Diceros bicornis minor: one gene and its partner. Each later gene encodes a partner of the first gene's protein in a complex. Links are inferred from orthologs where the notes say so. Each region holds a gene or a part of one and is shown in the gene's direction. Other genes may lie near its edges. The genes, in order: SRC and PTPN1.

Region 1 (15,287 bases):
CTAGACAGCCATGTGAGGTGGGTACAGTTACCCCCAGTTTACAAATGAGAGAAGGGAGGGTGAGCGGGGTCCAATGACTTGCCCGAGGCCACACAGCTATCGAGGTACGATTCAAAGCCAGGTCTCCACAGTGCTCTTAACCATGGTGTTCTCCCCTTTTGCCCCCTGTATTTCCACCCAGAAATTCTGATGAATTGAAGCCCTGTGTATGCATCTTACCAGTTCCACTGGGAGGGAAGCTTTATACTGGGGTCAGCAGGGTGAGGTGGGGGCAATCCTCACCACCCCTCCTGCCCATTCCCTTCAGCCTCCCTGGACATGTCATTGAACCTCTTCCCTCAGCAGCTATGGAAACAGCTCTGGCCAGAGAGGGGAAAGGACTTGCCCAAGGCCACACTGCTCAGAGGCTGCACCAGACTGGGTCCTGGCTGCCGATTCCTCACCCAGGGCGTGGACAAAGCAGGCGGGATGCACAGGACATAGAGGTTAGAGGCCCAGGCTCCAAAGGACAGGGGCTGTGCCAGTCTTGGTCACTGCTACATCTGTCCCCAACCCCAGCACAGGGCCTGCCATGCAGGAGGTGTGAATGGATAGGCCAGGACGGGGAGAGGTCTCTGTGGAAGCTTCCAGGAGGGGCCTGGGGTAGGCCGAGGAGGGCGAGTGTGGTTTGGACAAGCAGAGAGAGAGGACACCGCGGGGGGTACTGCGTAGGGAGATGTGTGGAGGTGGGAAGGAGAGAGGCTATGAGGAGGGCGGGAACAGGACAATGAGAAGACCGACCAGACACAGGGTCTGGGAGTCTGAGTGGCCAGAGTAGACCCACGGAAGCTCCTGGCCCAGCCTTTGGGGCAACCCCCCAACCACCACAGAGCCCTGCCTGGGTAATTCCTGAACAGGAACAGAAGGAGGAAGTTGTATAAGCGACACTCAGCCGGTGAGTGGGAGGCAGGGCTTGGTTTCATTTCCAGACGAGTCTTGGAGTTCCTCGGCTCCGGCGCCCGCCCCACCCTTGCCCATCGCCTGCTGTCTCTGCCCTCAGCTCAGGCAATGGTGAACCCCAAAGCCCACGGAGGCCAGGAAGGAGGCATCAAGGCCAGGAAATGGGGAAGTCCCGTCTCGTGCAGATGCCCTGGGAGAGGGGCCTGACGCGTCTCCTTCTCTGCCAGGCCAGATCGTGAATTCTGGAAGCCAGGGCTGTAGCTTCCACATCCTCCCTGCCTGGCAAACTCCTTCCCATCCTTCAAGACCCAAGTGAATGTCCCTTGTCTGGGAAGCTCCCCAAGAAACCCCTACCAGGGCAAACTAACAGATAGCTCCTTCTCTGAGCTCCAGACTCAGGCTGCACTTAAAAATAAATAAAGAGAATCACTGTTCACTGAGCACTCAGTGCACCAGGAGCTGCGCTAGATGCCTCACAGCCCCAACACTTCCCTGGGTCCTCTCAGCATCACCGAGAGTCATACCATCACCAGCTCCATCTCACCCGGCAGCACAGTGACGCGTAGCAGGGTCACATGGGTTATAGATGGTGGGACTGGCTCTTCTGGACCCAGAAGCTCGTGGCTCTCTGGCTCTCCTGCTCAGGGTGTTTCAGCATCTGTTTCCCCTACTGGCTTGAGAGCCCCCAGCGGGCAGGATCTGTGTCCTTGGACACCTGGCCCAGAGGAGGGGCTGACCCATGGACAAGCCTTTGAACCTCTCCACCTGCTTTTACCATGATGTGGACCTAGGCTGGTGCCTTGTATACAGTAAGCATTTAATAAATTCTTGTGATGTCAAGAAACTTTGATCCTGGTCCAGGCTGTCATAAACTTGCAGTAGGACCTTGGGCAAGTCACTTCCATTCTCCAGTCCTCAGTTTCCCCAGCTTTAGAAGGAAATGTTTAGAGACAGCTCTCTTGGCCTCCTGCCTGTCCTAAAATCTGTCCTTTGCTCCAGAACATAACACAGCATACACCCCACAACCAGTTTCCCCTATTATCACCATCTTACATCAGTACGGTACATGTGTCAGAACTAATGAACCAATATGGTTATATTATTAACTTAAGTCCATACTTTATTCAGAGTTTCTTTGTTTCTTCCTGGACGTCCCTTTTCACATCCAGGATCCCATCCAAGAGGCCACAGTACATTTCCTCATGTCTCCTTAGGCTCCTCTTAGCTGTGACAGTTTCTCAGACTTTCCTTGTTGTTGACCTTGACAGTTCTGAGCAGCGCTGGTCAGCTGTCCTGTAGAACGTCTCTCTGCTGGAATTTGTCTGATGTTTTTCTCACGATGACACCGGGATGACGGGTTCTGGGGAGGAAGACCGCGCAGGTGAAGTGCCATTCTCATCACATCACGTCAAGGGGACGCACCATCACCAGGACTTACCACTGTTGTCGTTGACCTTGGTCACCTGGCTGAGGCAGGCTGTCAGGCCTCTCCACTTTGTGAAGTCACCCCGCCCCATGCCGTCCTCTTTGGAAGGAGGTCACTATGGCAGCCCTCACCTAAGGAGCGGGCGGTTCTGCTCCCCTCCTGGAGGGTGGGTATAGTGTTAGCATTTTTTCTTCTTTAGTATCTACTTCTCAAAGTCCTCCCACAAAGCATTGCCACATTCCATCTTCCCGACAGGCCTGGGAAATGTGGGAGATGGAGACATTCTGCAAGGCAGAAGCCGAGGCTCGGGGAGGGGTGGGGATAGGGGCCGGGTTGGGCTCCGTGGGTCTTGCTTTTCCCTTGGACGTGAAATATGTGAAGGCCATGGCTCACAGAGGGGCAGGGCAGGACAGAACCGCGACGCCTGAGTGCCAGGCTCAGGAGGGGCTGAATTCTGCCTGGGTTTGGATTCGAGGTCCTGCCCCCCATCACTGTGTCATGTTGCCCACCTCGCCTCAGTTTCCGCATCTGTCCAATGGGGATAAAATAGCTCCCACCTCGTGCTGCTGTGAAGAATAAACTAGACGCCACACGCAGAGCCTTCAGGACAGGGCACTGCCCAGGAAACCCCGCACGCAGTGGCTGTGAGCTGTTGCTGTGATGATTATTTTTACAGTTGTTCTTTGAAGCGCTCCTGTCGCAGCCTGTCTCCTCTCTGCTCAGTGGGTTTCCAGCCCCCTCTGATCCAAGGGGTCACAGCTCTGGCTGCAGATTTCCGCCCTGCCCTCTGCCCTCCTGCCAGGCCAGGCAGATCAAGGGCCCTGGCCTCTTTTATCTTTTCTCACAAACATTCTGAGACATGGCGGAAGGAGGCCTGGGCTGGAGGGGGGCTGGCTTTGCCTCTGTATGAGCTTGGCGGAGTCTGTCTCTGGGCCTCTACTGTGGCCTGAGGGGAGTGACGTGATGAATGGCCGAGTTTCATGGCGCTCGGCCGTCACGTGAGCCTGGCGGGGCCGGGTGTCTCCCCTACTTTCATGCGGGCAGGTCACATGCCTGTGACATCCCCTGTTTTGTCTCTAGATTCTGAAGTGGGCACTCAAGCCTCAGGCTTCCCATCTGTGAACTGGCTGTGCAATTCAGAAGGGGAGGCCTTGAGGATTTTGGCCGTGTGGGCCAGTACTCGTGCTTGACCCCGCCATTTGCAGGTCACACCTGGACTCCACCCGCTCGGGTGCCCACGGTCTCCATCCCTTCCCTGGAGGGCGGATGCTGGAGGAACCTGCCTCTGAAGGAAACATGCTCACCTGCTGCCAGCCCCTCCTGACTCTCGTGGGGCCAGGGAACGCACGTCTAGTGCCCTGTGTCTTCGGCCTCCGGGCCAGCTCGGCCTCGCTCCCTGGAACATAGGTACGTGCCCACACACACTCGCCAGTGTAAGCTGGGGCGCCGCCTCGGCTGGTCCTCGGCCGGGGCTGCCGTCAGTGCAGAGGCCTCCACACTGCTCCTCCCTGGCCCCACCTGTCTCCACCCAGTGACAGCACAGATCCCCAGGCCCTTCTCTGCTCACAACGCTCCGTGGCTCCCCACTGCCTCCAGGACAGAAGCCAAACCTGGCATTCAGGGATCTTCAGGGCTCACCCCAGCCACCCTTCCCACCTCATTCCCCCCACACCAGCCCGCCCATCGTGCTGTGCTCCATTAGCACCGCACTGGTCCAAGTTCCAAACCCAGCAGTATTTTAGGCCTCTGTGTCTTTGGTCATGCTGTTCCCTCTGCCTGGAATACCCTCTCTGTCCCATTTTCACCTGCCAGCATCCCCGCAGTCTTCTACACTCTCCGTAGACGACCTCCTTCCTTCACCAGCCCCTTTCTCCAACACACATAGTGAATTAGGGCCCCTCCAGTCCCCGGTGCTGGCCCCATCACTCTGCCTAGCACACTGGTCACACTTCCCTGCTCCTCCAGGCTGCGAGCAATTCTAAGGCAGAGACCAGACCTGGTTTGTTCACTGCTGTCCCCCTAGCACCTAGCCCAGACCCTAGCACATAGTAGATGCTCAGTAAATACTGACTGACCCGAGAAAGGAAGAGTAAGGCTTAGCCAGGGGCTGTGGGGTAGACAGCATCCACGCAGAGGGACCAGCAAGTGCAGAGGCCTCTGGGCGGGAATGAGCTGCTGTGACGGAGGGACAGCAAGGATGCGGGCTTGACAAGGAGGGAAGGGGACCAGGGCCTGCAAGACAGGCCTGAGCAGCTGGCAAGGGCCAGATCGGGCTGATGCACTGAGGAACTGGACGTCTCTGTGTAAACTGTAAAGTGCAGTGCCACGGGAGGTGCCAAGCCCATTCCACAGCCTCAAGCTGGAGCCTGCCCCCTCTTCCACCTCATCCTGTAGCCCGAAGTCCAGATCATTCTGTGGCTTCGAATAGACAACTCACAGCAAACCATCTGGTGAATGACAGAGCTGGTCTGGAATTTCCCGCTGGGTGCCTGTGATGGGTCCAGCTCCTCCAAGGTGAGCTGGGCTCAGGGTGGGGTTAGCAAATAGGCCACCATCGAGCCAGAGCCACCAGGGCCCAGGGGTGCGGTGCGGGCAGTGCCTCTGATCCTAGTTCATGGGAAAGCTCTCACCTGTGGGTCTGCTGCCAGTCTTGAGGGGCCAGGCCTCGCCCCACATGCTCCATCCTGCCCTTAGTTGTGGCTTTGACCCAGGTGGGGGGAAGGAGGGAAGAAGAGGTTTCTGGAGACAGACATCTGTGTACAACCAGTGCTCACCATCTCAGCAATGTTGACATCAATAACATCTGTCACCTGTGGGTGCTTTGGGTTGGGAAATTGTGCTTCTCAGTCTTCCAGGCCTGAGACAGGGCTGTGTATACCGTCGGTGGTCAATAAGTTGCTTCCATTAACGACGATGAATGATTTGCAGGCATTAAGCAATGAGTTGCTATTTTACTAACAAACAATGTTTTAAGCAAAATAATGCACAGAGTCCCTTACTTACCCACCGGGCCAGACCAGCAACTCTCGCATCGACATCATCCTGGAGGTTGGTGGGGTTGTGGCCCCACTTTATTGATGAGTAAATTGAGGCTCAGAGAGGGCAGGGTCACACAGTCAATGAACGGAAGAGTTGGAACTTGAACTCTTGTATGTGGATCCCTAATCAGTGTGTTCTCCCCAGCCGACTGGGCAGTGTCTGCTCTGTGCTGGGCACGGGCCAGGCCACAGTCCCTGCCCTAAGGGTGGGGACTGACACACCCTGAAGGGACTTGGGGTGTGCCTCATCAGGAGTTTGTCAGGAAGCATGTCCTGGAGGTGGTGGAATTTACTCAGGGACCTGATGGCCACAGAAGGTTGGGAAGCTAGAGATACGGTGGGAGTTACAGCCTGAGCAATGGCCCAGAGGGGTGGCTGAAAATAACAAACGTTCCCAACCATCGTGCTGGCCACGTCTCCCTGAAGTGCTCGCTGAGAACCTCAGCGGCTAAGCCAAGCCCTCGAAGCCAGTGGTGGCTCCAGGGGGAAGGCTGCACCTTCCAGAGCCAAGACTTGTCCCCGTCGTCCCTGCTCCTCCAAGAGAATGTGTAGGGTACGGATAGTGAGGCCCACACGTGCTGAGCTGGCAGCACCTCATTTCATCCTCATGGGAGCCCTCTGACGGAAGTGCTGTCTTTAGCCCATTTTGCAGGTTGGCAGGCCGAGGCTCAGAGAAATGGCATGCTCAAGGTCACATATCCATGAAGTGGCAGAGATGGGACTTAACCCAGGTCTGTGGGTCCAAAGTCTGTGCTTTTAAGCTCTTTGTCATCCCAGCTCTAGACGTGGCCCAGAACTTTCAGTTGAACTCCTGGGGATGAATCTGGTGATGTGCTGGTAAATATTTAAAAGCCAGCTCTTTGGAAGGAAAAAAAGCCTTGATTTGTAGTGTTTGCTGATTTCCAAGGTGTAAATACTCCTACAGTGGCTGATGTCAAGTTATCAAAGTGACATCATTGATCCGAGAGTTGAGGAGAGATGAACACAGTCTGCTCTTGCAAGTGGTAACAGCCAGCCCCAGCACACCCCTGGGTGAGCAGCCCACCCGGCCCAGTGTGGCCAGGAAAGGCCTTCAGACACGTGTGAGGAGTGAGCGAGGGCTGAGAAATCCGCTCCTCCAGCCTGGGAAGCCATGGTTAATCTTTAAGCCAGCCTTGCCAACAAGTGCAGCCATTTCCCCAGCCCAGGCTGGCTTCTGGTGCTGGCTCTGCCGCTGACTTGCTGTGGGGCTTCAAGCTGCCCCTTCTCCCTCCGGCCTCAGTTTACCACCCGTAAGAGCTACCATTTGTTGGGCACAACCTCAGCCACCCTCACACTTGTCGGGTTTAACCTTCCCAGGAGTCCTCTGTGGCTTGTTCACTCTGTTTCATAGGCAAGGGGACTGGGCTGGGGAAATTGATGGACTCGTACGAGGTGCAGCAGGGGGGCAGCTGGCCTAGATTAGAACCAGATCAGTCCGGCTCAAGGCGGTGCTCACTCCTGGACTCCTGCACGCTGTATTGTACCCTGAGCCTTTGCCTCCCACATTCTAGGGTTCCCCTCCCAGCTCCTCTCAGGAGGAGAAGCCCAGCCTTGTGCCATTTGGCCTGGTTGGGCCTCAGTTTCCCATCTGTGAAATGGAAGAATTTCAGAGAAGGAAAGTGGAGGCAGGTGGTGGTATTTAAAGCTGGATTCAGGCCCACCTTCCCCTGTGCCATAATTCCAGGAGGACAGGTGAAAAGCCAAGGGTGGGGTGCCCGCCCCCAACAGGGCAGCCCCGGAGCCTGGGCCTGGAGGTGGTGGGGTAAGGTGGGGTCAGACAGTGGTGGAGGAGGCTTTGTGGCCTACAGCAGCATTTCCTCCAGGTCATCCCCTTTCTCTGCTATACTCCCTCGCCCCCGCGTCCAGATGTGCTTCGCCTCTTTATTTATATACTTGGAAGTGTAATTGTCACCGAATACCTGCTGCAGTCCCCTCTGAGGCGGGAATATCTGGAACTCTATGACTTCTGATGGGCAGCCTTAGTTATGTGTTTTATACACATTGAAATGAACACATATCTTATTAAAATAAATATTGCTCCTCTCCACATGGTCCCTCCTGCCCCAGTCCCCACTTTGTGAAACTCAGGTCAAGGCCAGAGTCCAAAGCCTGTTTCTTGTAGGTAACCCCTTTCTCTGTGCCACAGTTTCCCAATCTGTAAAATGGAGATAACCATCTGGCCAGCCCAGCTGCTTGTTTGGAATAGATCTTAAAAGTCGACCTGAGCCACTTAGCATGGCGCCTGGCAAGGAGTGAGCGCTCCGTTAGTGCTGGTGTTATTATTATTACTACTACTAATTGCAGGAGAGGTGGATTTGGGGTAAATAGGGTAGGTGGGTTGGGGGGAGTTAGGGAGGGCATTTTGGTTTGAGGGCGGATCGGGGGTCCGCAGGGTGGGGTGCTCTCACGGGGCGGGGTTTCTGTGCCCCAAGCCTCCGCACCCCATCCCCCGCCCCGCCCGGACGCTGGCTCGAGTGTGGGGGGGCCCGCACACGGGTCTCCTCCCGGTCACCGGCGGGGAATTCGTCCCCGCGCGCTTCCTCCTTCCTCCTCCTCCCGGAGGCCTGCCGTGCCCCTCCTCCCGGCGCGCGCGCTCCCTCCCTCCTCTTCCCCTCCCCGGGCCGCCGCCTCCTCCTCCTCCTCCCTTTCTCTCTCGATCTGTCTTTCCCGGCCCGGAATCCATTCCGGCCTGGGAGCCGGAGCGGCCAGGCCGCCGTCTGCCAGACCCCCTGGCCGTCCGGCGGGCCGCCCTCCCGTGCGTCTGTCTGCCGGTGCGCCCGCCCGCCCGTCGGCCCAGGTGAGCGCCCCCCGCCCCTCCGCGGGCGCCGAGTCCCCGCCGGCCTGGGGGAGCCCCCGCGCGGGGCCCCCCCCCCCCGGCCTCGGATCGCCGGGCCGCGGGGGCTCCGTGCACCCTCCGACCCGCACCCCCGGCCGAGCCGCGAGCCCGGAGCGCTGGGCGGGCGCACGGGGACGTGCCCGGCGCGGCCTTTTGTTGTGATGCCGCGGGAGGAGGGGGCTGGGCGGGGGCGCAGGGGTCTGTCGGCGCGGGGACCCCCTCCGGCTCACCCTCCCGCTGCGAGCCCCCTGAGAAGCAGCGAGCCGGGCCCGAGCCCCCGGCCAGCACTAGGCCAAATCTGATATCTGAGCCGGTCGGCGCCGCCTCTGGCCGCGGCTGCCCGGCCTGGCGCCCCGGCCCGGCATGGGAGGTGGAGGGGGGCCGACAGGGTGGGTCTGGGGGTACCTGGCTGGGGGCGCCCGGCCAGGCACCAGGCCCACCCTGTCCTCGTGGGGCTTCGACTAGGGCCTGGTGCCGCCGGCCTGGAAGGGACTGGGCCAGACGCTGCATGGTCCCCGCTGCCTACAGCCCCCAGCCTCGCTTCTGGGCAGGCCCAGCCGCCTGCCTGCTCAGAAGTTGGCAAAAGTTTTGGGCCCTCACCACCAAGCCCGGTCCATCTGCCTGCCTGGGCTGGGGTTGCAGTGGGTTTGAATCTCAACAGGACCACCACTTGCCCTGCTGTGTGTCCTCGGACAACTGCCTGCTCTCTCTGAGCTGGAGGTCCTCATCAGTGGCAGGTGGGCCTGGCTGGGATTACTGGGCTGGTGGAAGGATGGGCATGAAGAGAAAGGGCTCACCTGTGGGGTACCAGTTCAGCCTCTGGGGTCTCCAGGCTGACTTGAGAGTGGACAGACCATGTGTGTGTGGGCCTGGGTGAGAGCCTCAGGGACTCTGTACAATGGGGGCAGTGGTCCCTGTGTCCCCTGGGGGGAGGCCAGGCCCAGCCACAGTGCAGCTGAGGTCAGACTTGGTTTCAGTGGGCCAGGCTGGCTCTGTAGCTGACCCTCTTCTCAGCCCTCTGGCTGGGGAGACAGGACACCTAGGCTTCTCGTCTCACTGGGCGACCTGGGCCAAGGGACTGCCCTCTGAGTCTGCATATGTGGAATGGGAATCCTCAGGGGAGGAATCTGTGTGTTTTGGCTTGGTATGTAGTAGGTGCTCAATAAATGAGCGCTTCCCTGGATGAATTGCCTGAACGGGTGGAGGCGAGGTTGCTGGCCTAGTGGGGCTCATCTCCAGGAGAGGGTGGATTTGTGCCTGAAAAGCCGCCTCTTGAGAAAGAATAACCCCTTGAGAAAGAGACCACGCTGGCACAGGCCTGCCACCCAGCAGCTGTGTGAGCTCAGGCAGCTCACTGTTCCCTCTGGCCTTCGTTTCGTTAAGTGTAAAATGGGCCCGTGGTAATGACAGCTGCTGACCTCTACTGAGCGCCTCCTCTGAGGTAGGGGCTCTTGTTTATCCTCATTTTGCTGATGGAGAAACTGAGGCACAGAGAGGTGAAGTGACTGCCCCGAGGCCACACAGTTTGAAGCTGGAATCAGAACCTGGACCTTGGAGCCCCCCGTCTGGCTGCCCTCGACCCCTTCCAGGGGTGATAGAGGAGCAGGCGTTTCTCAGGACAAGACCAGGCACACGGCAGTGTCGGAAAAGACTACCCCGATGAGTGATCGCGTGGAGCCACGAGGCCCATTTGGTGAGATGGTGATGTGGTCTTTCCACCCAAGGAAGTGATTTACAGTGTGTCACCTCTCTCAGCTGACTGCCTGCCCAGGCCCTCCTGTGTGGCCCCTGGGCCTTTGCTCCTGAAGATGTCCCTGCCGGAGTGTCCTCTCATGTAGGAGCTGCTTATCTGCTCTTGTTCTTTAAGATTTAGTTTAAGGCCCACCTCTTCCAGGAAGGCCCCCCAGCTCTCTCCTCCTCTCCCCTAGCCTCTTCCTGGAGCATGAATTATCCCCAGCTCACAGCCAGTTTCTGCTTTTGCTTCTTCCCTGATGGTGACCTCGGGGGCCAGGGGTTGTCTGGCTCCTCCAAGCCCCAGGATCCAGGGAGGAGATGGCTCCATGACATGCCGACAGAACCCCCAACCCCCTGGTCCTCAATTGACCCCATTTCCCCAAACCTGCCTAAATGCAAGCCTCCGTGACCTTGTATTGAGCACTTACTGTGTCCTAGGAGCTTTGAACTCAGGCCAGCAGTGTGGTGATGGGGTGAGCAGTGGGAGCTGTGGGGAGGCATCCGGAGGCTTCCAGGAGGTGGTGCTGAGGGGGGGCAGCAGTTTGCTCAACAAAGGAGGGACGAGAGTGCTCTCTCTTCCCTTCTGTTCAGACACTTCCCTGGGGTTGTGGGGAGTGGTCAGCCTGGGTGGGTCCTTGCAGAGGAATGGTGAACGTCCCTGGCCTTCCAGAAGTTTGAGTCTAGAGGGTGAGCCAAGTAGCAAACAAGTTGCCAAATAAATGAATATATAATCGCAGATGTGATAAGGGCTCAGAGGGAGAGGCGTGGGATGCAGAGGAATCTTGAAGGAAGCACGTAGGAGTTGGCCAGGCATGGAGCTAGGGGCAGGGCTTACCAGGCAGAGGGGATGGCATGTGCAAAGGCCCTGAGGTGGGGAGTGTGTGCTGTTGTGGAGGAACAATGGGAAAGCCTGTGAATCTGGAGCACAGAGAATTAGGGGGAGGGGGTGAGAGGTGAAATGAGGGGTGTTCACAGCAGGGCTGGACCCTGTGGGCTGTGTGGGCCTTGGGGAGGAGTTTGGCCTTCATCTTCACACAAGGGGCTGATTAGTGTCCGCTCTGTGAACAGCCCCATGCTGGAGGCTTGAGTACAGAGCTGTCCAACACATCTGGTGGAAATAGATCTGTGGGCTGGACTCCAAGTATTCTGCAGGGGCCTAGATCAGGTGTCAAGAGGAAGGGCATTTAAGGCTGGGCTTTGAAAGTAGAATAGGAGTTCACTGGCAGGAAGGCAGGAGAGGGTGAGAGCCCGGGGTTGGGGAAGTGCAATGCAGGGTGGCTGGAGGCTGGGAGTGAGGTGGGGAGTGGTGGGGGCGGGGGGAGGCGGTCAGCTGGAGACCAAAGTACCGTCAGGGCTCACGAGTCAGACAGGTCTAGGTTCACGTTCTGACGGTCTCCACTTGTGTGTCTTTGGGTCATTCCCTGTATCTTTCTGAGACTTAGTTTCCTTGTCTTGAAAATGGGGACGATATTTCCCTGTCAGGTGAGGGCTGAAGCAGGGCTGTATGCCCAGTGCCTGGCACCAGTAGGTCCTCAGGAAATGGGGCCTGCCTTGTGTGGTGCTGCACTGGGCAGGTCGATCGGCCCCATGGGTCTGGCCTCACCAGCTGTGTGGTGAAGGCTTTGAGTGGGTGATCTCACTGAGCCTGAAGGGGCTGCTCTGGGCAGGACTGGCCTAGGAAAGGATGCTGGCAGCAAGGCGTCCACGTGCTGGGCGATGTGAGTCCTGCTCTGCCCTCTCTGTGCGAGGAGGCTGCACTGGGGAGAGCCCTGTGGTCTAGCTTAGCCCAGCTTTTGGAAGCCTGCCTTAGGTGAGATTGGTCCATTTTCCAGATGTAAACACTAAGACCCAGAGAGGAGAAGCCACTTGCCTAGGGTCTCCTGGTTGCTGAGTGACAAGGTGAACCTAGGCTGGAGGGCTCTGCAGGGCTCGTGTCCCTGCAGGCCTTAGAGCTCCTTCAAAGGGCCTCCCCCCTGCTCTGGGCCTCTTGCCGGAGCCTCATTCCTGCCTCGGTCACGTGGCCCCCGCGCCTCTATCTTCCATTGGGTTCCCGCAGCCCTTTACTTCCCCTCCGCTGCTCCTACCCCCTTATCTCCGAGGTGAACTGCTCAGGTTTCCACTTGAGCCCCTGGGGGAGCACTTCCCCTGGGGCGCCTCAGTTTCCTCATCTATGAAGTGGGATAATATGAGTCACGATTCCCAGGATGTCCCGAGAGCACTGAAGTACAGCGTTTAGCGCACGTTAACTCGATAAATAGGGCGGACAAGGACCAGACATGGACTTGAGTCCTTCCTTCTCTGGCGGCTGACACCCCCTTCCTGTGACTCGGTTTCGAAAGCTGTCAGATGGGCATAGGACTTGCACCTAGTAGGGCCAAGGGGAGGGTGGGGTGAAGCTGTTCCTCAGGCCCTCATGCTGGCTGGCTCTGGGTCCCTGTTTCTGGGGAAGGTGCCCCAGGAGACGGCTCCCCTGTGTTCAAGGTCCCGTTGCCAGCTGTGTGTCCAAAGGCAGAGCACTAAGGCCCTCTGAACCTGAGCCTCTGCATACCTCATTGTGAGGATAAAATCAGCTGATGTCTCTCAGCAGTTTGAATCTACTGGATGCTCAGGAAATGTTACCTCTTTCTCCCTTCCCCTCCCTCGTGGGGGCTCAGACATTACCCAGTCTAGGGATGGCCCAGGGCTCATATCCCCCAGACCTGGATTGCTGTGTTGAGACACTCTGAGGCCCAGTCTTGGCTTCATGGGAAAGAGTGATGTGATAGACTAGTAATGTATGCCACGGGCAGAGGATTAGGGAGTGTTGTATGAGGGCTGTGAGTTTGTCATTCCTGATGTATTCTGACCTGCTCTTTTCACACATGGGAGACTGAGGCCAGAAAGACCCAGGTCATGTTATCTAAGCTGGGCGAGAAATGCACATTTCTTGTCTTTTGATCCAGGGCTCTCCCCACCCAGCCAGCCTGCCCTTCCCACAGGACAGCCAGGTGGGGTAGATGACTGGGGAATATCCCAGTGCTGGAAGCCGGAACCCCCATTTCCCCTGTCCTTGCTGTGAGACCTTGAGCACATAACGTTCCCCCCAACATGGACCCCAGTCCCTCTCCTCCCCTTGGAACTACCCAGAGAAGTTCTACAATGAAGTGAAGCCAGAGGGGAGGAGAAGCTGGATGATCTGGGCCACTGTCTTCCTGCTTTGGTCCTCAGTTTCCTGGTCTGTACGGTGAGGGCTCTTCCCTCCCAGAGGCTCTGTGACAGGAATCCTGGCTGGGAAGTCTTCCGGGGGCGGGCCAGCTGAGTCCTCTCTGATGCCCGTGTTGGGTGGAGATGCTGTTGAGAGACTGTGGGAATGGGTCCTTTGGGTCCTCAGACCCGCTGGGCTGCGAGGCCAGGACGGGCAGACACCAGTGCTGGGGAGGGAAGCTCGACCTCCCCCGTCAAGGTCTGATTATCTTCTCTTGGGCTGCTTTGTCCAAATCTGCGGCCTTGACTTTTACTCTGATGTCGATGTCCTCACGTTGCGCCCTCCCCAGCCAGGTCATAGCAGGGTGACCCATTCCATCCCTTGCGCCATCATGGGTGGGCAGAACTTTTGTTTTATGACGTAGAAGAGGAACTGAGGCTCAGAGAGGCCGAGGGCTAGGGCACGGTCACCCAGCACCGTGAAGTGTGAGCCCAGCCTTCTGGCTTCTGGGTGATTTGTGGCGTCTCACTCCCAGCGCGTGTGCACCAGCTGGGCTGAAGTCTTTCCCCAGGCTTAGGGTGGCGTGTTGCTGGGGCATGTGATCCTGACTCTCTGGCTTCCAGCTCTGACTGAGGGATCTCCACTTGGATCTGGGGTTCTGGGATCGTGCAGGGAACCTCCAGCTCCCAGGATTGGCATATCGGGGTGCTCAATGGATGGTCATGGCATAAAGGGAGTGGAAATAGCAAGGCCTTGGGAGCCAGTTGGTTCTGGGTTTGAATCCTGGCTCTGGCACTTGTTTGCTGTGTCTGTGGGAAAATGATTGCTCTGAGCCTTAGTTTCCCCAGTTGTGGAATGGAGATGACAGTGCTGGGACCAGCTGTGACAGGGTGATGTGAGGATCAGATGGACTAACGTGTGTCTGCTCTGGTGCAGGGCCTGCACGCAGTATGTGCTTTGTGTTTCTGAGTGCCTGTGATTGGGAAGGGGATTCCCTGACGAGGCGGGAATTCTGACCTCAGCAGCCCAATTGACATGGGAATCCCCGGGGCTGGGACTGGACACCTGTGTCCGTGGCGGGCTTGTCCTGTGGGGCGGAGCTGGAGGGAAGGTTAACTAGAGACAGACAAGTTTGGTGACCGGATTGATTGGAAGCCACCAGCTCCATCCAGCCTCCCCGAGCCCAGCTCCCGCCTCAGCCCTTGCCGGCCTATGACCTGTCAAGTCCTCCCAGTGCCCTGGCATTCAAGGCCCCCTCGCTGAACACGTCCATCTCTCCAAGGTGGCCACCGATTTAGCGCTGGGTGCTTGGCGTCTTTGCCTGCCTGGGCTGAGAGGCAGGAGCTGTACGGCCTTCGGGTTTTTTGAGAGGCAGCCGAGGCTCAGAGAGAGGCCGGGATGGGCGCAGGGACTCCTGGAGGAGTGTTGGTCCAGGCCAGAGCTCTTCCCTCTGCCCACCCAGTCAGCCCCCGCATTTCCCTCTCACTCAGATTATCCTGTAGCCTTTCTGAACCGTTGGCTGCCTTCCTGCTACCCTGGGTTGTCCAGCCCCCATGCCTTTGCCTCCGCAGTCCCACTGCCTAGCATGCCCTCCTTCTTGATACCCTTCTAGGGGCCAAGATGCCTCAGCCTCCGGAAAGCGTTTACTGCCCACCCTCTCTGCCCCAACCTTAGTCCATACTTCCTCCCCTGCACCCCGCTGGCTCCTTCTCTGCCCTCCCTCATGGCTCTGACACATCCTGCCTTAGATGGCAAGTCATAGGATTCTTGTTGCCTCTAAGGGAGTGCAGTGGTAATCATCACTCCCAAGGGCACTGCACTTTACAGTTTACAAAGCGCTTTCCATGGTCGCCTCTGAGCATCCCTAAGCAGGGCTGGGAGGGAGACAGAACCGTCATAATAATCTTCATCTGGCAGATGAGGAAACTGAGGCCTCAGGTCAGAGTCGTGCCAGGTGCTCTCAGTGCTTGGGTCCCCGTGAGCCCCCAGTCTCCCCAGGCGGGATCCCCTCTCTCAGAGTCCCATGAAAGCCTCGACTTATTGTCAAAGGGGCGATCTGGAGGTTCAGAGAGCTGAAGTGACTTGCCTGAGGTCACACAGCCTGGAAGG
Region 2 (15,791 bases), about 11 Mb from region 1:
CACCTCCTCTTGCCCAGGTCCTGAGCTACCCTGGGGATATACAAAGATGAATATTATACAGTCCAGGCCTGTGAGGGGCACCTGGTCAGCTGAGAGACTCACATGTGGACAGATAAGACCAACACAAGAGAATGGATCCACACTGAAACAGAGGTGTGCACGAAGGCTGATGTTCTGCTTTCATGCCGCCCAGATACGGATCTCGCTCCCGAAATGAAGAAGTAAGGAGAGACGAGGGAGATTCTTATTTAGGAGGACAGTGGTGACAAGTTGACGCAGGTGGTTTCCAAAAGATCTTGACTTCCAAAGCAGCTGATGCTCTGGGGAAGGGATGTGGCTGAATTTGAGACCCATAGCCGAGGAAGGTAGAGACAGAAGACAAAGACAGTGTAACAGCATGCTTTTGGCTGCGAGTAACAAAAAAGCCAACCCAAAGTGGTTTCAACAATAAAAACGTTTATGATCTTCACAAAGAATTCCAGAGCTAGGTGGCTCCAGGCACAGTTCAACAACTCAATGACGTTACCAAAGACCCAGGCGCTCTCTAGACACATTCCCTCCCGTGTGTCTCTCTTACGAGAGGGAGACCCCTTTCCCAGAAGCTCCTGGACAGACTCTGCTCCACGTCCCAGTGGCGGGAATTGTGTCACCCGTCCATGCTCTAACTGCAAAACTGGCTGGGAAGAGGAACATCTCACCTTTCCAGTTCTGTTATAATGGGTGTGCTCTGCCAGCCAAGAAGAAGGTGGAAGGGAGTGATGAGTAACCAAAAGTATCTGGCAACCAAAAGTATTTGCCTCAGAAGGGAATTAACATTCACTAGGCACTGTTTATAACCCCAGCCGTCCCCAAAATTTCCAGCTTCCCCTTTAATATCTGACTAATAATAGGGCCCCATGACTCTAGCTTTTATCAGGTTCTTTCTGGAGGATATTACTCAGAATGGGGGTTGTTCGCACGTCCCATGGACCATTCTTGGGGCTGCTTGGCATCTGTAGTGAGCCATCTCTCTCAGGACTTCTCCTGCCCTTGTCTGCCACTCTTTACTGCCAGCACCAGATGCTGCTCCTGCTCCCAACACCGTCTTGGCTGGAGCAGGTACCCAGCCCTCTTCCTTAACATCCCCCCAAAACATGGCTGGGTTAATTAGAATATAGGTTCGATTTCTGTGACTGAGACTCTGACCAACAGTGGCTTACACAAAGCAGCAGTTTATGTCTAACAATCAGAATGACGCCTATAAGCAACCAGGATGACTGGACCCGTGCATAGCAGCTGAATGCCAGCCCTGCTTATGTCTCTCTCATGTGACAGTCTGTGGATGATGGGGCAGATCCACAGGGTCCAGGTCCCAGGCACCTCCTATCTTGTTCTTTTCCATCCCTTGCATGTTGTGCTTGTCTGCACAGTTCAAACTGGAGCCCACTATGTCCCATTCCAGGCAACAGGATGGAGGAAAAGGTGGAAGAAAGAACTTTTCCCTCCCAGCACCCCCCTGCAGCACCCCCTGGGCATCTGAAGTCATGATTTAGAAGTGGACCACATCACCACCACCCACATCTTATTGGCCAGCATATAGTCACATGGCATATCTAGCTGCAAGGGAAGCTGGGAAATATAGTCTTTAGCTGAGCAGCCATGTGCACAGCTATAATCCTATTTCTATGAAAGAAGAGGAGAATTGATATTGGGGACACTAAATATATTACCTCAAAGCTAGGATGAGCCCATAGCAGGGAACAAAAGTTTACTGAAGCTATGGGGATAACAATGAAGAGAAGGAAAACGCAAAATGAAATTGTAAATAAATAGCTTCTAGGGCCCAGGTACCTGCATTGCGCTGTCCCTCATGCTGGTCTTCACCCTCCTTTCTCTCCAGCCTGCCACCATGTTGTGGGGGCCAGCCTACCTTCCCTGGAGGGAGGCTTCTTGCCCTTTCTCTTTAGAATTTAGAGCCCTCTTCTTCCTCGCCTTCCCCAGATACAAGCAGTGGGACTATCCGGTCCTTCAGAGGAACGCTCCATCCAGCGTGTGGTTCCCCACGGCCCAGGGGAGGCCAGCATGAGAGTCGTAAGCACATTCCCCCAAGCCTGGGTCCCTCTGCTCTTGTTCACTCCAAGTGTGGGTCCTCTCCATGGGTCTCCCTCCAGCACAAGGGGAAGAATATTTCAGGCCAGCCGCCCCCCACCACCGCTCCCCACACAGTTGGGTCTCAAATGGAACACCATTTCTATCTTCAAATACAAAAACTACGGGAGCAAATTCTTGATCAAAAAGATACACATCTCTTCCAAGGACTACCAGGAACACTTCTATCTAAACGTAACCTTGGAAGTTAACTTCTTTTCTCTAAAAGGCTACCGTCCTGCTACAGACACACTCAACTTACAGACATTATGCCGACAGTGCTGTGTGGTAGTAGACAAGTTACATAACCACGCTGTTTCCTCATCTATGAAATGAGGTTAATGACAGACCCTCTCACAAGGTTGTTGGGACGATCTAGGGAGATTATGGAGGTAAAGTGCTAGTTAGCAGAGAGCCTCGCTCACAGTAAACACCCAATACATGTAGCTATTACAATTATTATTACTAAACAAGAGTGAACAACTCAATACAGGGAATCTGTATCTGGAGAAGGTCACTGTGTTAGGACTTCCCCCGAGAGCAGTGGTTCCTCCCAGAATAAAGGAGAAAGACCATTTCCAACTTCAAAGACAGCAGCTGCTTCTACCCCCCTTCAAGAATTTGAAAATCTAGACCTCGTCTCCAGAACTGCCTACATAATTTGCAAAGTCCAGTGCAACATGAATATGCAGGGCCCCTTGTTCAAAAATTATTAAGAATTTCAAGACAGCAACAGCAGAGCATTAAACCAAGTGCAAGGCCCCTCTGAGCGCAGGGCCCGGTGCACCTGGCCAGATTGCACACACGCCCCCGAAGCTTGCCCTGCTCACCTCCACCAGCAGGACAAAAACTAGAGATGCAAAACAGCAGGTTGCAACATATACTACGAAAACATCTGGAGGCAGATGGGAGCCTGCTTTTTCCACTCAGCAACCTACACAACCTTAATAACAACAGCCACATTTATTAGGTCCTTGCCATGAACTAGAGACCATGCTGAGACACCATCTCATCCAACCAGCACATCCCTGCCTTAATGTAAAAGGTAATGTAAAGATCAGAGAGGGTAAGAAACCTGTCCAAGGACACACAGCCCAAGTCAGCCAGATTCCAGGACCTGCACCCAGAACCACCATGTGTGCGATAGGAGTGTCCCCCTACCTCCAACCCTCTAAACTGGAGGGCATCACAGTGACCTCTGAAACCCTCCCAGACTCCTGCTTTGCTGAGAGCATGGGGCCAGGTCTAGTTTCCATCTTGGATCTAACTTCCCTCCTCCAACCTTTCCCCAGGCCTCTAAGCCTCCTTTCTCAGAACACACGTGACCCTCCTAGTTCCCCCTGGGCGCCTTCTCCTCCCCGCACTGGGCAGTCACCCTTGCAGGACAGGCAGCTCTGTATTAGATTTATGTATTTAGTGGATGGAGTAAAGTCTAAAATATTCTCTGGGGGTGGAGGGGTGAGGGAGTCTTCATAAGGCTGAGGAAGAACCCAGTGAGGATGCGAGTGAGGATCTTCTGGGGTGCTCACCTTCCTGAGAGTTCTGAAACACTGCAGAACTCGTACGTCTTAGTAGAATGTCAGAACTGGAAGCAGCCCCTAGAGCTAAACTGGGTTCAAAGCCTGGTTCCACCATTTCTTAGCTGTGTGACCAGAGGCAAGTTGCTTAACCTTTCTGTGCCTCAGTTCAAATGTGGGATAATAATAGTACAGGCTTCACCATGTTGTTGTAAGTAATAATTATGTTTACTATTATTATCTCTTCATTGTTGTTATTATTTGTTTAGAGCTCATGAGAGTTCTTGGAGAGACTGGAGAGCATCACGGCTGAGAGCACAGATGCTGAAACCAGACTGCCTATATCTAAATCCCACTTCACTACTTATAGCTGTGTGACCTTGGTTAAGAAATTGACCTCTCTGGGCCTCAGTTTCTTCATTTGCCAATATTTCCCTTGGACAGAGAGACTGGCTTAGAGATGGCTTCTGAGACTCAACTGGACCAATGAGATTGAAGGCCAGGACTTGTGCTGGGACCACCAGGGAAAAGAAGCCCTCTTTTCTTTGGGGTTGCTGAGCTGGCAGGATGTGAGCCTGGCACTGCTGGGGCCATCCTGGTTCCCTCAGGAGGAAAGCCTGCCTGAGAGTGAATCTAACACATGGGGGAAGCAGATAGAGCTGGAGAGAGAGAGAGTCATGATGACACGGTTGGAGCCCCTGGATACGGCTGTGCCTGAAGCAAGCCCCTATTGGACTTCCCAGTTTCGTGAGGCCATAAATTCCCCATTTTGTGAAAGCCACTTTCAGTTGGGTTTTTCTTACTGGAAACCATCCGGGCTGACCCCAGGAGGTTAAGCAACTTGCCCAAGGCCTGAAAGCTAGTAAGTAGCAGACACAGGGTTTAGAAGCTTTTACCTGCTGTGCTCAGGCCAGCACTCTGTATTTGGATGTTCATTGATTTCACTTCCTTATCCTCTCTGAGCAGCCATTTTCTCATCTGCAAAATGGGATAACACGAGGCTTGCAGGGCTGCTGGGAAATGTAAAATGCAAGATAACACTGTTGCCTAGCGCTGCCGTGGCTGGAGGCGGAAGCTCTGTGAACCCAGTTTCCGGTGCTGTGGGCCTGGGCGTGGTCCCGGGCGAGTTATCCCAGCTCAGGGAATGTCTCTGGCTGACCCCACATCAGCCAACCAGTCCAGGCGCCCAAACTCTGCTAGGAGAGCGTGTGTGAGTCTCAGAGGGAAGGGCCACTTCCCTTCCTGGCTGTGTGTCCTCCCTGGTGGACAGAGGGAGCTGGATGATGAGGACCCTCGAGCTGAGTCCACGAGGTGGAAAGAAGCCCTGTCATCTTGGTTTCTGGAACCTTCCAAGGACTCATGGTCTCATCTGGGAATGACTCGTAGCTCAAGGAAGACAGCATTGATCCAAATCGACTTAGTTTCTTTTCTTCACGCACTTTACATTTAGTAGTGGAGACGGCCGATAAACACATGAAACAAACACATTACATAACACCACGTGGTAACAGGGGTAGAAGGTACATCCTCCAATGCCTGATAAGTGCTAAGCAGAAAAAGGACGGAGTGACAGGGCTCTGTTTATTAGGAGGCGTCAGGAGGGGCCTCCCTGCGGAAGTGACAGTTCATCAGGGACCAGTTTGCTCTGGCTCTGCCTCCCCAGCTCTCAACACTGCTCTGTCTCCCAGAAAAGAGACTGGGACGAATTTTACTGGGAAACTTGCTGACACTGCTGAGTTAGGAGTTGATGATCCATTGGAGGCTTGGTAAACAGCCATCCCTCTCCACCAACAACTCTTTCGGACATTTTTAAAAGTTTAATGAGTCATTGATTTCCTCCATTAGCTAAATCCTTGAAGGGAAGGCCTGAGAAGCCGCGTGAGACCATCCTCAGGCACGCCTGCCAGGAAAAGGTTTTAGCTATCACGACACACTGCCATTTGTTTATTTTCTAACCAGTCATCACCGACAGATTCCCAATCATCACTATCACATCTCCGGAGGATACCAGGGCTTGGCTGGTTCTAGGCCAAGCCTTGGCTGGGAACCGGCAGAGGTTTCCAGATGAAAGCTAAGCCTCGGAGAGTCAAGGAGGATCCCAGCACCTCGGGCCCCTCCTCCAGGCCAAATATCAGGTGCTTGGAACACGGACGAGAAGTTGAGGGCCCTGCCCTCATGGAACATTAAAATGGGGGGCAGGAAAAGGGAGCAAGCCAACAAATAAACAAACGGGAATTTTAGACAGAGAAGAGTGCAATGATGCAAAAAACAAGGTCTGTGGTAGAGAGTGACTGGGGGCTATTGTAGAGAGGGTGGTCAGAAGATCTGTCGGTAGAGGTGACATTTGACCCGAAACCTGAAAGGTGAGAAGATCTGCAAGAATGGTCCGGAGGCTAGACAGGAACAGGTAGAGGGAACAGCTGGTGCAAAGGTCCTGAGGTGGAAACTAGTTTGAAACATTAGAGGACTGGACTGGAGTGGAGTACAAGAAGAGAAGAGAGTTTGAGGAGGTGGGCAGGGACAAGGTCACATGGGTCTTATGGGCCAGGGTCAGGACTTTATTTGGGTTTCATTCTAAAAAAGATAGGAAACTATTGGAGGATTTTACATAGAAGAGTTTCATGATCCAAATATTAAAATCTCTCTCTGGCTGCTGCTATGTGAAGAACGGATATAATGGTGATTAGCTGATACCTGAAATTAGGGGTTTCCTTCAGAATCAGTATTTGTGACAAAGTTTCACCCTCTGCCACTATAGTAGGTTGAGTGGGGGCCCCCCAAAAAGGTATGTCCAAGTCTTCACCCTCAGAACCTGGAACATGACCTTATTCAGAAAACGTCTCTTTGCAGATGTAATTAATTTAAGGATCTCAAAATGAGAGCATCTTGGATTACCTGGGACAGCCAAATCATCCTGGATTAGGGTGGGTCTTGAATTCAATGACAGGCATCCTTATAAGAGTGAGGCTGAGGGAAATCCGACAGATGGAAAAGACACAGAGAAGAAAACCACGCAAAAACCATGAAAAACCTGGAGTGATGCTGCCACGAGCCACCAGGAGCTTCAAGAAGGATTCTCTCCGAGAGCCTTCAGAGTGAGTGTGGCCCTGTCAACACCTCGATCTCAGACTTCTGGCCGCCAGAACTTTGCAAATACATTTCTGTTGTTTTAAGCCAACAAATTTGTGGTGATTTGTTACAGCAGCCCTAGGAAACTAACACAGTCACTAAACAGCCCAAACTTGAACCCTGCTTTAGCCTCCTGTAGCCCCCTCTCCCCCACCAAGATCCTGTGCATAGCCTTGGCCCCACTCAAAGGCCACTGCAGTCACTGGGTGGCCCTCCCTGCGGGCCTAAGGGCCACTTGGGCTCCAGATGGGCATTTTATTTATTTACTGACTTAGCTCAGCCCACAGAGATACGAATGAGCCCACCCTGTTCTCTCTTCCCCCAAGGAGCTCTCAGCCCTGTGAGTTCAGACAAACTAGCACTCAGATAAACCAGGGCAGGAAGAGAACATCAGCCTGGAGAGTCACTAACATGGCTAAGGCATAAATTAGGCAGCTTCCAAGTGTGGGTTTCCCAAACTTTTCACCAGAATGGGCTTCTGTTAATTTCCCCACCATGGAATACTCAGTTTCTAAAGACATTGCCTATCAAACCAATTGCATTTATTCAATAAGAATTTATTTACCTCTCCATTTGCAATTATTCGAAGGTGTATAATAATGAGGGCTATTTATTGATCTACTCACTATACTAAAAGCATTATATTTACCCCTTCAATCTTCACATTGCCCCTACGAGGCAGGTACTTCTATTATCCTCATTTTACAAAGGAGAGAAGAGAGGCAGAGAGAGGTCAAGTAATTTGCCCAAGGTTGCACAGCTAGTATGTAGTAAAGCTGGAATTTGGACCCAGGCAGCCTGGCTCCAAAGCAAGCACTCCCCTGGAGACTAGATTAGAATGCTGGCTTCCACACCAATGACCAGTGCTACTCTGGACAGTGATTTTTGCCTCCCTGTGCCTCAGTTTCCTCATCTATATGATGGGAACAGTAATAGTGCCTGTATTGTAGGGTTGTTGGAGAGGTTAAATGAGAATGTGTACACAGAATGCCATGCACAGTGCCTGCCAAAAGCACTCAAGGAATGAGCTGGAATTCAACCAGTGACCCCAGGCAGCTGCTCTGGGCAGGCTTGAGACGGGAACAGTGAACAGAGATTCGGTCTTCTAGGTTCTCTGAGGTGATGGAGTTCACAATCTCCATACCATGTGCCAGGCTGGGAGCTGGATGGCTTGAGGTGGAACCCGCAGAAAGGCAACCTGATCAGCCCTTCTCATATGTGCTTCAAGGACCACAGGTATAGAATTAGCTGGGGTTGCTGGTGAAAAATACAGATTCCTGGTATCTGAACCCTTTGGAAGTGGGTCCAGAAATCTGCGTTATTGAACACACTGATGCACCATGGAATGGGTGCTCTACTGAGTCCAGTCTGAGCAGGATTTCCTTGCTACTCTGGGAAATATTGAAAATCATCCCAAGACCCCCATCCATTCTCTCCTATGGCGCCCAGGATAGGAGACCCCCAAGGGAAATCTTCCGTTTCACGCAAGGACAGTACCCTCAGAGAGCAATAGGCCTTCCCCAGCAGCCTGGTGAAGCACGAAAAAAGGGCAGATATCTAACCAGAGGCGGGAGGCAGGAAGTGGAGCATGCAGCCCTCCGCCCATACTCCAGCATGGAGCACTGAGGCCAGTGCCCTGGGGCTGCAGGAAACATGCATGACCACTTCAAGGTCACTGTGTGACTCAACGGGCGGCATCGAGGCTTGAACTCAAGATCCGCCGGGCCATTGCAAACCCACCCGCCGTGGGCGGGGCTCCCGGGGGTTGCCTAGACAACGGCGCCCGCCACGCCCATGCCGGGAGTCCCGCAGGGGAGAAGGCAGCGCACGCTGCGAGATGTCTCGCGGGGCTGCGGCTACTTCCCTCGGCACCTCCCCCGGCCCCGCCCCGCGGAAGTGCTTGCCGACATTCTCGAGCGCTGATTGGTCCTCCCGCTTGAGGGGCGGAGCCCGCGGCAGCGCGGTGCGTACTTCCGGCTGCCGGGTTGACATGAAGAAGCAGCGGCGGCTAGGGCGGCGGTAGCGGCGGGAGTGGAGGCGCGGTGCGCTCGGGGCCGAGAGGGCGACGCGGCCTAGAGCGGCGGACGGCGCAGCGGGCCGAGGAGGAGGCGCGGCAGCCGCCCTGGCCCGTCATGGAGATGGAGAAGGAGTTCGAGCAGATCGACAAGGCCGGGAGCTGGGCGGCCATTTACCAGGTGCGGGAGCGCCCGGCGCGCGGCGGCCCTTCGCTTAGGCCGCGCGGACCTTCCGCGAGACCCCGGCCCCGCTCTGCCCCGGGCCGCCCTCCGCCTCGGCCGGCCGCCCGAGGGTTCGCCCCGACGGCGGGGGGCCGGCCCCCTCTCCCTTTGTCCCCGGCGGGCCTGCGTCTCGCGGCCCCCCGAGCCCCCACCCACCCCGTATCCCCCGCCCGGTGACCCCTCGGGCCCGGCGGCCGCCCGCCGGTGCTCTCGGCGCCGGTCCTCGCACCCTGACCCCCGCCCCCCGCCTGTCCACCCTTTGTCCCCTGGGGTCGCTGGAACACCCCCACCACTTCCTTTCCTGGGCTGGACCACCTCGTCCTCTTTTCCTTTGTCTCCCTGGGGGAAAGGCTTTCTCTCCTCCCTCCTTCACGTTTCCTCTTCTCTAGTCTCTGTGCGTCGAGTCCCGGGGATGACAGTCCCTTCCCCCTTCCTGTTCATTCATTTCATGGAGGTGAATTGGCCTGCCTGTTCCGTGCTGGGCACTGCCTAGGCGCTGGAGGTAATGTTTGCCGGACAAGAGGACAAGACCCCCTCCCCCCTGGAGCTTAGAGTTGAATAGGGCAGTGAAACACGTCAGCAGGTAATTTCAGGTGGTGACAAGTGCTGGGAAGGAAACGAAACATCATAATGGGGTGGAGAGTGACTGCATAGAAGGTGGGCTGCCTCGGAGAGGGGCGTCAGGGAAGACCTGTCAGAGGAAGGGACGTTTGCTCGTGAGCTGAATGAGGAGCTGCAGCAAGCCCTGAGCATATCAGGCTAGAGAGCTTTCCGGCCAGAAGGCCTGCGGTACCCACTCCACTGGGGCCACGGTATTTCCCTTTCAGGCAGGCAACAGGGAAGGTTAACGTTTTTGCCCCATCTAAAAATAGCATCTCTCCCCGGTGAGCATCTTGTCTTTTGGTCATGGCTGAGATGATTGTGTCTTTCTAGTCTTCATCTCCTTGTGGGTTATGGGGGTTCATAAATAAAAAGTTAGGAAGATAGGATTTCTCACATGTCTCTACAACATCAGATTAAAGACGCGAAGAGATCTGCTTTCACAAGCAGTTAAGTCCTCTAAAGAAAATATGTGCTCCCGATTAAATGTCATTGCGGGGGTTGTGAAGATTAACCAAAACCACACTCGGTATTTTAAATGGGCGATCTGCAGAATAGAGAGATTTTGTTACTTGTGTAAAGGGAGAAGGCAGTTTATTCTGCTTTTAGCTTATAGGCTCAAAAGGCAAATTGTGAGATCCATCAGCTGGTAGTGTTAAAATCTATTTTGAGCTCCACTTAAAAAGGAAAAAAGCTTTAAGCCGGTCTTTGGTATGCTTGACTAACAAAAGCCTTGTTTTTGGCAGGCTGGGTTTCATGTGGATTTGCATCAAGCTTATTTGACAGGATTCTTTTTACTTGGACTGTAATGTGTATTAACTTCTGATAGACTAATATTTATAACCACTGTAATCTGTATAAGTACGATCGATCAATATATAAAATTTGTATTCTGGATCTAGTCTCTCTGAGTTAGTTGAATGAATTCCGCTAGTGACTTTGAGAATGTGTAGATAAATTTTCTGCATCCAGTTTAATGCAGTGGAGTCTCAAGTGGCTTTAAATGAAAAAATTGTGGGTCTAAAGTGTTCGAGTTGATTATGATTTACCCCATCACAAGTGGAGGTGGCTTCCAGGAGGCATGGGGACATTGAGTTGGCAACAACAAATTCATATTATAAAAAGTTCTTGGTTGAATTTGATTTCTTAGTATTTTAGGGCAGAGTCTACCTGTCACCCAAGCATTGTTAAAACTGTGTGAAGCATGCCGCTAGCGAGAAGCCTGTTGGTCTTCAGTTAATTTCCCTCCTTGTTCTTGTCTGTCTACCAAGGAGTTAGTCAGTTTGCTGTGTGTTGAGATTTCCCCAGCTTCTTAATGCATTGCCACGTTCCTGCAAGTGGTTTCTTTTGATCTTAGAGAATTGTCCACTATGGGCTTTCTCATCTCTACTGTACAGATATTTTTTTTTCTAAAATTGCAATGAGAAGCTCTTCTCCTTTTTGACTTTAAAAGTGGCTCTTTATTGGGCAACTGTGGCATTTTTAGAAACGTAGAGTTCAAATGACCTTGAGTCTAAAGTGGCATAGTTTCCAAAGTGTGTGTCAATTTACCAAAACTGTTATTTTTCAAGAATTCAAAGAAATGTGTTTATGGGTGGTAGAAAATGGCAGTTAAAAAAATTAATATTTTTTAGCATGTCACAATGTGGGCAGACTTATACAAAGTCATTTTGAGCTTGCTTAGTCTATTGTTATTAGAAGAATAACATGTAATTTTTGCCTAAAATTTTGTAAACAAGGCAGTGCAATTATTTCTCACTGTACTTCTATCTAGAACAAAAAGATGCAAAAACTTGGAAACAATTGGGAAAAGAACAAAGGGTGAAGTAGACTTTCAAATGCTGAGGAATGTGGTAGCTTAGAAAACAAATGTTTCAGACAAAGAGTCTCCACTTACGCTCGCTCACTTTGATAAAGTGAGCATAAGTTTTAATTGTCTTAATTTTAATTGTTAATGCTAATAAACAGCATAGATACTAATAAGCATTCAGGTCTATAAAAAGTCAGCGTTGGCATATGTAGATGGCTTTAAAATTGTTTTCTGTCATTTAAACAATTGTATGTCTGGTTTGAAAAGTGGAAGTAATATTTAGTGAGCTGGAGCTTGCGTTGGTTTGATTGTCCGAAAGAGGAGAGAACACAGACCGGGAAAAGGGATTGGTTTTTGCAGCTAAAATGAGAGAAGAGGGGGCCGGAATGAATGAAAACGGCTCAGAAGCTGCCCTCCATTTGTAATTTACAGTTGGGGTCAGGTGTTTTTCTGTTTCTCTCATCTCTGATTCTTTGATTTCTCTGACACTGTTCTGTTCGCTACTTTTTGTTGTGAATGATTTGATTGTTTTCAGATAAAGGAGATTGTAACAATAGCTCGTGACTTGAGGACAAGATTTATTCCGTGTTAGAGGCAGGCTTTGTAAAATGGGCCACTCTTCCCCTTGACATTTGTTTTTGTAGCTGCTTTTATCATGAAATACGATGTGATGCCTGACTAGGTTGAAGCCATGTTATAACAGTAGTTATTCCTCACTGCTGCATACAGCTCATGTTGTTATAGTCCAGCAAGATGAATATTAAAATATCCCTATGATGTTTATTTAAATAACATTCTCTACAGAGGAAAACTGTTTTGTGCAGAGGAGAAAGATCTATACACTGTGACTCACTGTACTTGAAAAAAAAAAAGACAAACGGAAATGACATGGAGAGATTGGGAAGTTCTAGTCATCTTGGGTGACCCACTAGATCTAAATGTTCTTCTTTAGCCCTGGTTTGAGTGAACTAAATTTAGGTGTCTGATCATCACGTTGGAAATGGTGTAAAGACCTTTGTAATTGTCTGCACTCATATTAAATTAACTGGAGCAGAAGTAGAAATGGTGGAGGGAAGAACTTTTTCTATCATTGTTTGTTTGCCAGCACTGGCATATTTATAGGAATACTCTGGTATTTTTGGAAGTACAGAAACAAAAGCCGGCTGGGGGATAATGGTAGCGCAAACGATTTTCAGTTACTAGTTATCTCTCATTGGGCTCCATGGCCTCCCCACTGCATTTTGCTTTTCAGCATGAATAGCTCCTCCAAAACCTATAAAATTATCTGGTATTTAATAATGTAACAATGTATACTGAATTTCATGATAGAAACAAATTTAAAAATTTCCTGTAGGGGTTTTTCAGACTATAAACTGATGAAATAACTCTTTTCTTTCTTTCGTTCTTTTCTTTTCTTTTTTTTTTTTTTTGAATTGTCTGTTTTCTGATCTTTTGGATTGAAGAATGCTTTTGGCAGTTTTGTCCTATGCTGTACTTTTAATTGCAGGTACTTTTCTCGTAAGCCTCCCTGGGCCCATTTATGCTTTGCATGAGCTGGCATTCCTCCCCCCAGTGTTGAGGTTAATTCGTTCATGGTGACCAACTCATAATACTGACAAATGGGCTGGGTGTGCTTCTTTATACTGCCCACATTCAGCAAGATGGGAAGTCTAGCGGGGTCGTTGTTTCCAAGACAGTGTAGTTTGGTACCAGTCATTTGATGTGCAGTTTTGAATATCGAGGAGTGCTGGGGACTTGGCCAGTTCTTGATTCCCTCTGCCACATTTCATTGATTGGTCACCGTGGCATCCTTTCTACTACCCCCGTGGTCTGGGTTCTCCAGTTTTGCCTATAATACTCCTGTAACACTGCTGTTGTTCCTAGTTTCACCCCACAGAAATGAGTGAAACCAGTAACGTACTAATATGGCCCCTCAGCAGTCTGTCCACATCTCCCCTCAACCCTGCTATGTATATGCTTCACATGATCACTAGAGTAATTCCCTTAAAACAGACCTGAGCCTCTTCCTCCTCTGTGTAACTACTCCTAGTGCTGTCATAGTACCCGTAAGATTCAGACCCCTGGGCATGGCAGCTGGGTTCAGCCATCCCCTTTTCTGTACCTTCTGTTCTGGCCACACCAGCAGCGTTCTCCAGACTGATCCTTTCATTCCTCTGTACCTTGGCTCAGCACTTTCTCTAGGCTGCCTTTCCCACTCATCTGGCTTGCTTCTCCCAGCTCAGATGTGTGCCTCCTCGCACTAGATTTTTGCTCTCTCACCTGTGTGTTTCCGTACGGCTGCGTGCGTGTCTCTCCTAAAGCGCTGCTCTGGTGGGAGCTGTTTCTTTGTATCCAGGCCTGTCTTCTCTTGAGTCCCAGCTGTTGGGGTCAGCTCTTTCATCTTTCTCGTTCACCATGGCGTCCTCTACCCTTGGCACACAGTGCGGAAGAAACGTTGGGGTTGAGTTGGTTGACAGCACTTTGCCAGCCCCTGACAATACAAAGATGAACAAGACATGGTTCCCAGCTCCCATTCTGGGTGGGAAGGAGTGGTAGAAATAGTTAGATCAGGCTGCTTTAGTACTTACAGCAGAGGTCCCTCTGGGAGAGAACCACCACATTTTGAGCCATGGCCTGATGAGGCGACTTAGTATTGCCTACTGTGGTGGCCTGGAAGAAAGGCTTGAGTCTTACCCAGTAGAAGTTGATACCACAAGTTTGTTTCTCAGGAACTTTAAATTTAACAGCAAATTTGTACTTGGCCTGAGGTGAACTTAGGAAACTGAGAGGTGATATCGCTGTCTCTCTAAGAATTATTGAATTGCTCTCTCCTCATCACTCTTGACCTGTTCCCACATGCCTTCTAGAAGGGCTTTGCATGTCATTTGTTTGTAAAACATTTTTTGACTGGGATATAAAATATGGTTCTTAATAAAGTAACAACCCTTACCAAGTCTGTGATTTTTTTCAAAGTATAAATGGTAAAGGCAGACATTTTTGGCCTTTGATCAGACCACCCTTTGGGCCAAGAGAGTAGTTTAATCTTTTGCGTTTTCTCTGGTCTCAGCTCTAATGCCAGCAACGCTGACGAGGTCCCTTCCTTTCTTTGGCTTCAGTCCTTTCCTTTGTAAAAATGCTCCTGGACTAACTGATCACTAAGTTCATGTCAAGTAATAAAAGTCTTTAATGTACTCACGAGAGAATTTAATGTGCCCGAAGGAATCTTTGTAAACGCTGCAGTGGTTACTCAGTTTTGTAAGGTGTGTGGGTGTCAGTGGGTGCAGTTAGGCTCAAAAATTTATAGGAGTTTTGTGAGTATAGTGAAAGATTCAAAAGAAGTGAGTCTTTTTTTCCCAAGAGTTTTATTTCCCCAAATTAAACATTTTTAATAAGTAGGGTTCATTTGATATAGTAATGTGGGAAAATGAGTAGCACTGACATAGGAGTTACGCTTGCAGTTTTTCTCTAAGTAGCAATTGGGTGGTTTTTCCTGTAAAAGATAGAGGAACTGATTCTTGAGAATTTACGAAAGATTCAGCCCCAGCTAGGTACGTGAAGAGTAGCTGCCCTTTATGTTGTAATTTTAGAAAGAAACCTACATCTGGTCTAAACTTCATTTGAATAGTATAATAGTTTACACAGCTGCCATGTTTGAGAAGAAAGTACCTAAGTCTCCAGTATTTGAAATAATGCTTTACTTTTTAGAAGTGGGCTTCATAGTTCATTAGCTGCTGCCCTCTCCTTCAAGGCAGCTTGACAGAATCACGAGTATCTTACTGGCAGTTTGTAAGTTTTGCATGTCTGAAAACTGGAAACAAGACCATTTCACGTGGAAGATTATTTTTTCCCTGAAATAAATAGCCAAAGAAAATCTGGCCCCCCCAAATCAGTTGATCTTTGGGATGTGGTACAGGTCACACTGCAGACAAAATTATAACTACTGATGAATGATTTTCAGTATTTTTTTTTAAATGTGTGATATGATTCACTTTGCAGTTCTGAATGCTCATGATTCTACCAAGGCAGTAAAATTTTATGGATACCCCGTGGTACTTAGAATTGGTGCTGCAAGAAATTGGTTCTGCATTATGGACTCACAAAGTAAACATGGCTTCTTTAGCAAAGTGACGCTTAAGGTCTGTATTTTCTCTGGAAACTATGTATTCCCTGCTACTCTTATCCTAGTAGTGTGCCAGGAAATCCTGAGTCCTAACTGAGGCTTAAGCACTAGTTGAAGTAAACCTTTGGACCCAGGTAGACTTGTGTCCTGGGCCCCTTCTCTTCTACTTGTAGAGGTTTCTTCTCAAGACTGAGTGCGGTGTGTTTTCTCTCACAGATGAAGAAGGAAAAGCCTCGGCTGTGCCTGTGGCT

Evidence for each region.
Region 2: the proteins of SRC (region 1) and PTPN1 are in contact, whole or in part, in a crystal structure (PDB 3ZMQ), measured with the Homo sapiens proteins. The link is inferred for Diceros bicornis minor from reciprocal best matches to the Homo sapiens genes SRC and PTPN1. Residues at the interface, in NP_005408.1 of Homo sapiens: Glu527, Gln529, Tyr530, Gln531, Pro532; in NP_002818.1 of Homo sapiens: Arg45, Tyr46, Arg47, Asp48, Val49, Asp181, Phe182, Ser216, Ala217, Gly218, Ile219, Gly220, Arg221, Ser222, Gln262.

Annotation. Positions count from the first base shown.
Region 1 is NC_080758.1:22,732,240-22,747,526, reverse strand, and holds the start of SRC (proto-oncogene tyrosine-protein kinase Src), read left to right. Parts: upstream 1-8,040; 5' UTR 8,041-8,221; intron 8,222-15,287. UniProt on the Homo sapiens protein: Non-receptor protein tyrosine kinase which is activated following engagement of many different classes of cellular receptors including immune response receptors, integrins and other adhesion receptors, receptor protein tyrosine kinases, G protein-coupled receptors as well as cytokine receptors.
Region 2 is NC_080758.1:11,634,343-11,650,133, reverse strand, and holds the start of PTPN1 (tyrosine-protein phosphatase non-receptor type 1), read left to right. Parts: upstream 1-8,788; 5' UTR 8,789-8,905; coding exon of another isoform or gene 8,906-8,968; intron 8,969-15,791. UniProt on the Homo sapiens protein: Tyrosine-protein phosphatase which acts as a regulator of endoplasmic reticulum unfolded protein response. Mediates dephosphorylation of EIF2AK3/PERK; inactivating the protein kinase activity of EIF2AK3/PERK.